Linked DNA regions of Cricetulus griseus. The protein of the gene in region 1 interacts with the protein of each later gene in a pairwise test. Links are inferred from orthologs where the notes say so. Each region holds a gene or a part of one and is shown on either strand. Other genes may lie near its edges.

Region 1 (3,905 bases):
GCCCCAAACCTGAATAAGCCACTGAATACACCTGGCACTCCACATGATTGCCAGCATGCCTACTATGCACCTGTTACCCTGGGGCAGGGGGAGCAGCCAGATCCATCCTGCTGGTCCTTCTGGATGTTTGCTTTGCCTCTTAGAACAGAAGGCTGCCAGACTCAGAACAGACTTCAGGGGGCATCAATCAGAGCCCCCAAAGTCCTGGGATCCAGCCCCTGATTCAAAACTGGCTTGCTTACATCACCACGGATTTAGTCCTTGTAAATCTTTGAACACTCTGATTTAGTCAGGTTTCTGAGCATCTTCGGCATTTCATCTCTCCCACCAATGTATATGACTACTGGGGAATACAGATCCAGGCTACTGCCAAGACTGGAATAAACGGAGCACAGACCCTGACCGCTAGGCTGTATAAGCTAAGCACTGAGCTCGGGCTCCATGCTGACTCTGACTTGTTCTCAACCTTGGTTTGTCTAAACCCCGAGTCTAGCTCCACACTGAATGAGGCCTGAGACAGTGGCAGACAAAGCTTATCCTTCACCTCAGACTGGCTTGACTTTGAAGCAATTTCCTTTCTCACATTTTTGTTAACTGCTGTGGCAGGACCAGGATAGAGAGGGTGGGGGTTAGGTTGGTTAGGTAACCAAAGGCATAGAGTACAGAGAGATGTTACTTCTGGCAACAAATCAAACTTACAGAAATGTTTGGAACAGTTTTTCCTTCTCATCACAGCAGGCAAGCAGAATGGATCAATCAGGAAAAAGGAGAGTAGTTTAGAGGGCAGAGAGAGTTCCTGACCACTTGAGAGAAGCTTGAACGTATGGAAGTTTCTCTCATTTATTCTGCCCACCCCCCAGCTTCTTCTCAAAGAAATGCCAGGCTGGGGCCTGAACTTCCTGAATGAAGAGCTCTGTATACTTCAGTTGCTGTCTCCCTTGTAAGCTCTGCCTGGGGCAGGATTTCCAAAACCACTCATGCAATCAGTGGGGTTTCTGGGTCCTCCACCTTGATATGGCCAACCATTACTGACTGTTATAGACTCTTACTTTTCAACTCCACACCCTAACTTCCCCACTCCACCTCCCACCAGCAGCCACCCTGGGCTTCTCCTTGATCCCTGAGCATGCCCTTACTCTCTCCTGCATGTGTGTCTTTTGCTGCTAGATTCCTGATTTCTCATTCCATCCTACTGAATGCTACCTCCTTCAGCACCCTCCTCCAGATCTCAACCTTGTATGGTGACCACTCTGCCATTTCTGTCCCTAAGCCCTCTAGATAAAGTCAGACTGGCATAACATTGGTGGCCGGGCTTTAGGGAAAGCTTAGACTCAAGAGTCTTAGAGTTGGCTGGGGAGATGGTTCAGTGGGTAAAGAGCTTGTAGTGCAAGCATGAGGACCAGTTTTGATCTCCAGAACCTATGAAAAACCTGACAAGACCTGGCAGCCTTCTGTAACCCTAGAACTTAGGAGGTAGAGGCAGGGAACCCCTGCAAGCCCCAGGTTCAGAAACACCTTGCCTTGGGCTGGTGAGATGTCTCAATGGGTAAACTTACTGGCCTGAGGGACCCTCATGGTAGAAGGAGAGAACTCCCACCAACTGTCTCTAACTATAACATGTACATTGTGGTACATACGTGTGTGTGTGTGTGTGTGTGTGTGTGTGTGCGTACACATAAATAAATGTAATTATTTTTTAAAAATAGACCTTGCCTCAATAAATGAAGTGGAGAGTGAGTAAGATAACTGATGTCAGCCTCCATACCTGCATGCCCACCTTCACTTACCCACAATACCAGACATATAGGAATACAAGTCTTCAAGTTGAAACAGCTCTGAAAAATCAAGTGGCCTAACCTACATGAGCAGATGGGGAAACTGAAGCCCAGAATCAGGATTTGAGGAGCCCAACTTTGCATAGAAAGTTATAAGAAGTAGGTGGTTGGGATAGAGAGGGACTTAGCCTCTAATAAGGTACAAAGGACCCTTTTCCTGCTGTCTGGCCACTGGCCTGGTGTAGATAAGAGGAGAGGAAGGGAGTAGAGAGGCCCCACCTCCTTGCTGTAGAACTTAAGGCCCAGGACTTTTCCTAGAAAGAGTAAACTTGGAGTACAGGAGGTAAGCTAAGAGGGCAGGTCCCCTTCTAGCTATGTCTCTTACCGCTGTTCTCTCCCCAGCCTCATGCCATCACTGAGACTGTTTCTTCCAGAGCCTCTGGGCCCTCTCTCCCAGTGGACCCTCCACTTTAATTACTGGGTGAGTGGCCAGTAGTTTGCTCACTCCATGACTGAGCATCTAATCTTCCCAGATGAAGAGCAAAGGTTGACCGACCCAGCCTGTTTCTAATATCTAGCCCCCTGCCAGGGACACACCTGCCCCTCCCAGGCCTGGCTCAGAAACCGCCCCAGTCTGAACTCAGAATCTAGCCAGGTATGCCCTGCAGGACAAGATCTAATATAAAAGTAGGAGTGTAAGACACAGCTACTGTCCAGCCAGACCCGCCCCCTCCCCTCCTTTGAGCTCCTAAGAACCTCCCTTTATCTCCAGCAGTTAGGGCCAAACAGGTCCTAGGACCCAGAGGAGCCCGCCTGACGTTTCCGCTCCTGAAGACACGCCCCCTCACCAGCCACCGCCACCGCCACCCCCCACCCCGGCGTTCGGGCGCTGAGCCTTGGACCCGGGGCTGAGGACTGTGGCCAGCCTGCTTTCGGGCTCGGGTCGCTTCCAGAAGTTGGCAAGCGAGGACCAAGAAGAACTGAAAGTGGAAGCAAGACCGGGCCGCGAGGGGCGCGGAGACGCGGCTCTCACTCACGCGCTCCGCCTAGGTGGACAGCTCCGGGTCTCTGTCGGTGCGGCCACACCGCAGCGGGCTGGCTCGTCCTCCTGCGGGTGATCCCGCCGGGCCGGTCTCCGCGCCTGTCCGCCTGCCTGCCCCGGGCTGCGGCCGCCGTCCCGCCGCTCGTCCGCGAGCAGACGCCAGCTCCGCCCCGGGCTCAGCCACGCCGTGGCCACGGGGCGGGGAGGGGCGGGGAAAGGGACTCCCCCGTCCCAGGACACACACTCTTCTCTCCAGCCTTTCCGGGAAGTGGGAAGTCCGGTGGAGCTCGCAGCCTCCCCTAGGGCCGAGGACTTACTGAGCAGCCGCCCCAGGGGACCGTCTGGATCTTTCTTAAGAAGGCGGCCTCAGATTCCTAGGCTGTAGAATGGGAGTAACTCCAGCTTCTCCCTGAAGCAGAAAGAAAAAAACAAAACCCTTGTGGTTTGAATGGTTTCCTAGTCCTCCCGCAGTCATCTGAGCTTCACTTGTCTCTGAACTCTATAGGGTTCCTAACAGCCTATATTCAGCTTCAGCCCACTATCACAAACAGCACTCAAGGCTAGATGCTGCTGGTGGTGGAGGGAGGGAGGGAGCATGTCTTAATTCCAGCACTAGGGAGGCAGAGGCAGGCAGATCTCTGTGAACTCCAGGCTAGTCCAGGGCTGTGTAGCGACACCCTCTCCCAGCCAGCCAGCCAGCCAGCCAGCCAGCCAGCCAGCCAGCCAGCCAGCCATTGAGTGAATAGCTATAGGGAGTCGTGGACAGGGTTACTCCTGAGAGGAAGGACTGATTCCTCCACCCTCCTTCCCAGAGAACGTTCAAAGAAGATGTCACCTTCCCCACACCAGCTGGAGACCTTGTTCTGGCTGGGTAGATTCTCACACCAACCAAAGTCACCTATATCCTATATCCTATCTCCAAGCCATTGTCTCCGTTGTTGTTCTACAGAATGGCTTCTCCCCCAACCCTTTCCAAACGGGTTCAAACCTTTCCATACTTGATGTTCATTGCCCACTTTTCTACCTAGATTTCTCCCTTGAAAACAAGCCGATATCCCACATCACAGCTTAACACATACCATGGCTTG
Region 2 (3,875 bases), about 100 Mb from region 1:
AGAGAGCTGAACCCAGATGTGCTCAAAACTCATCCCTTTTCCATTACAACATCCTTTATAGGCACTAGTCTCAGCTGTCATCCAGGATTTAAGCCAATTTACTAAAAACTTCTGGGCTCCATCTTTAAAAATAAGTGACCTGTTTCACAAGTGGCGGCACAAACCTTTAATCCCAGTGGGAGGATCTGAGTTTTCAGCCAACCTGGTCTACAGAGTTCCAAGACAGCCAAGCCAGAGCTACATAGCAGACCCTGTCTGAAAACACAGCAACCTTCTTGTAAGATTTAGGAAAAGTATGCCCGGGGGAGGGGGGGGGCTTGCCTTTAATCCCAGCACTCGGGAGGCAGAGGCAGGCGGATCTCTGTGAGTTCAAGGCCAGCCTGGTCCCCAGAGCAAGTGCCAGGATAGGCTCCAAAGCTACACAGAGAAACCCTGTCTCGAAAAAACAACAACAAAAGATTTGGGAAAAGTAATTTGCGCAAATAACAAAATCAATCCAAACAAACACGGTTTCCCTGCTTTCTGGGGGTGGGGGGGACCTTGCTTTTAAAACTAAAGCCTCTGATATCTGGTAGATAAGCTGGGTTACTTGTGTGCCTAATAAACTACAGTGTACGTGTGCTGAGCAGCAGGCTCCTCCATAAACACCCCAGTGAGGTACCTGAATGTTGACTTTCTAAAATCAATGACTGGCTAGAAATACAAAAGAATGAATTCCACCCACCACCACAGGTTGTCTTAGTCATAAAAAGGAGGACTGACCAACATCTGTTTGACTTGAAAAGAGCTATCAAAATGGTTAGGTTATTTACTATCTTTAAAGTAAGACTGTTTTAGGAAAGTGAATTAAAACTCCTAGATTGTTTTGTAACTACGGACTGATGGTTTTCCAGTGAGTAAATGAAGTCCAAACCACTTCACATTAAACATTTCCAAAGCTAAGTTTAACACCCTTCATATAAGCTATTCACAACAAAGTTTTTCAAAGGATAATAGAGATTCTCAGAAGAGAAATACGTACAAAAATAACTAAAATGTACAATAATTTTACCAAAAGTGAGCCTTGGTAAGAAGGTTCAAGTTTAACGGAGTTAGACATCGTAAAATTATTCTCGTTATTCAACTAACTTCCTCCATATTTACATATGCCTCTCATATTTCACACTATCCCGACCTGACATGAGCATTTAAGAGTGGACTGCCAGTAGCACCAAAGCTTAAGGAAACTGTTTAACCATTCTTCAGTCTACTTCTAGCACTTCAGTGTGTATTAACACAAGGCAGTAGACTTCTAAAAATCTCCGCTGATAAAAATGTTTTGGATCGAAAGTCAATCCTAAGTCTAAAATCTCTAACCTCTCTTTCGGATTCAATCTCTTAGACAAACCCTTAGTCATAAAAGAGAGAGAGACAGAGACAGAGAGAGACAGAGAGAGACAGACGGACACACACACACACAGAGAGAGAGAGAGAGAGAGAGAGAGAGAGAGAGAGAGAGGGAGGGAAGGAGGGAGGGAGGGAGAGATCCAGCGCTATCATTAGGAAACTGTCGTTCCACCCCTCCCCCAATACATCCACAACTTTGGAAAACTTTGTTCCCAGGCTTTCTAAACCCCTACGCATAAGCTCCCCCGAATCTCTCTGGATGGGAAGGACGCCTTCACCCGGGGAGGTCTTTTTCTTTCTTTCTTTGCTTTAGTTTTAGTCTTTTTCACTGATAAACCTTTCCCAAAAGGTCTCAAAAAAAAAAAAAAAAGAAAAAAAAAAAAAAAAGCAAGAGCAGATCTACAGTACCTGGGCGTTGGCTTCGTGGAGTTTGTGCTCGGTGGAGACGTGGTGCCTCAGGAGCAGGGTTTTCTTATAGTTGCGGGTCCCTCGCGAAAGCTCATCACGCCCCAGCTGGGGAAGGTCCACGCTGCCCCCATCCTCGGGGGTCTTTTGGCACCAGCCGCAAAACATAAGGCCAGTATCCTTGGAGTACCGCAGCCAAGGGAAGTCCTTGAGCCAAGAGGTCTGGAAGGAGCTCTGGAGCTTCTGCATGAGGGACTTGGGCCTCGCAAGCGGGAAGTGCTGGACAGTCTCTCCGTCGCCAGCTCCCACACCGCTGCCCTCCGCTTCGTCCCCGCCATCGCCTCCCGACCGCCTGCTGCTGCTGCAGCTGCCGCCTTCCGCCCCACTGCCGTCGCCGGGGCTCGCCCCCTCCTCCTCTTCCTCGGTGCTGTCGCTCAGGGACGCGCCGTCCTGCATCAACTCCTTCCCCTCCAGCGCGTCCAGCTCCAGATCCACGGCCGCCGGCCCTCGCCCATTGAAATGCCTGAGGGGCCACGCCGAGGTCCCCCGGCGGCCGCGGCTGCTGCCATTGTTGCCGAGACCCCCGGCGCCTCCCCCGCGGAAGGCCAGAGTCCGACGGTTCCTTTCCGCTAGCAGGGGGCCCCCCGCGCCGCCGCCCAGCGAGGCGGGGCCGCCCGCGTCCTGAGGGAGCAGCAACTCCTTGGCGTCCTCGGCGGCGGCGGCCGGCAGCGGGGCGGCGGCGGCGGCGGCGGCCGCCCGGCGGAGGCCTCCGAGTCTTGGGGCTCCAGGCCCTCCGATTGCCATTTCCTCGTCGGCCCCGCGCCCATTGGCTGCAGCGGCGCGCGCGGCGCGCGGGCTGTCGCGGATGCGGCCGCGGAGGCCAAGCAGAGGCCTCCCGCCAGCGTTATTGTTCGTGGGGCGCCGGCCGCCGCCGCCGCCACCACCGCCGGTGACCAACCCGCCTCCTCGGAACGCCAGCGTCCTGCGGTTCATTTCACTGAACATGGCGCGCGCCGCCGCCGCCGCCCGCCCGGTGCCTCGGCTCGCACACCGCCTCGGGCCCCGTCCCGCTCGCTCGCCGCGGCTCCCCAACGTCTCACCCCCCCCCCGCCCCCGGGCGCGCTTGCGCTGAGCTGCGCTCCCGCCGGCCCGCCTCACCCTCCCGCCGGCTCGCCTCGCTCCCGGGGCCGCCGCACGCGTCGCCGCCGCCGCCGCCGCCGCTGTCCGGCCGCGTCCTCTCCACCCCCGCCCCGCCGTGCTCCGGGCAGCGTCCGCGCGGAGAGGTGGGCGGGCGGCGGAGCGGCGAGCCGGGGCGCGTGCGGCCTTCGAAGTTGAGGAGGAGTGCGGACGCCCCTCCGCTGCCCCGCTTCAGCGCCGCGCGCACACACCGGCCCGCCAACAGCTCTCAGTCCTCGGGGGAGCCGCGCCGCCGCCGCCGGCTGCCGAGGCGCAGACGCGAGAGGCGCGCTAAGCCTCTGGGCTCCGCCACATAGCGAGCCGACAATAAAGCCGGCGGAGCGTTTCCGTCCGACCAGGCCCTGGCGGAGGTCGAATGGCAAATGAACAACGGACCGTGCGCCCACAATGCACCGGGGTAGCAGTAACCGCTGGAGGGGGAGAGGGTGGGGGCCGGCCGGGGAGGGGGGGGCTGGGCCGGGCTGGGCTGGGCCGGGGGCGCCGGGGGACCGGGAAAGGGGCCCGGCCGCTCAGGCCCGCGGGCGGGGGTGCGGCCGCGGGAAGGAAGCGAGCGGCGAGCGGCCGCGGGCGGGGCGCGGGGCCGGGGTCTCGGGGCGGGGCCGGCTCGGCTAGGACAAACAGCTGGCGGGTGTCAGGGACCGCCTCGCCGCCGCGCGCCCCGGCGCACCGTGCCCTGCTGTCGCCACGACTTCACCTGGGACTCCAGGAGTAACTGCGGTGGGAGCGCGCCCCGGCCTTGTCATCTGCTGGGGGGTGGGTGGCCGTGCCCGAGGAAGTGAACTTATTTTGTTCCTTCACAAAAGACTGGACCAGGCGGTGCCGTCCTCGCGAGGACACCTCCTTGGGCGCTTTGTGTGCGCCGGGCAGCACCTCTGTCCCCGGGCAAT

What was found.
Region 2: the proteins of Mob3c (region 1) and Zbtb10 interact in binary tests that used the Homo sapiens proteins (3 or more experiments, as listed by UniProt). The link is inferred for Cricetulus griseus from reciprocal best matches to the Homo sapiens genes MOB3C and ZBTB10.

The regions. Positions count from the first base shown.
Region 1 is NC_048595.1:36,509,911-36,513,815, forward strand, and holds the start of Mob3c (MOB kinase activator 3C), read right to left. Parts: upstream 2,946-3,905; 5' UTR 2,813-2,945; intron 1-2,812. UniProt on the Homo sapiens protein: May regulate the activity of kinases.
Region 2 is NC_048595.1:138,601,529-138,605,403, forward strand, and holds the start of Zbtb10 (zinc finger and BTB domain-containing protein 10), read right to left. Parts: upstream 2,887-3,875; 5' UTR 2,797-2,886; coding exon 1,795-2,796; intron 1-1,794. UniProt on the Homo sapiens protein: May be involved in transcriptional regulation.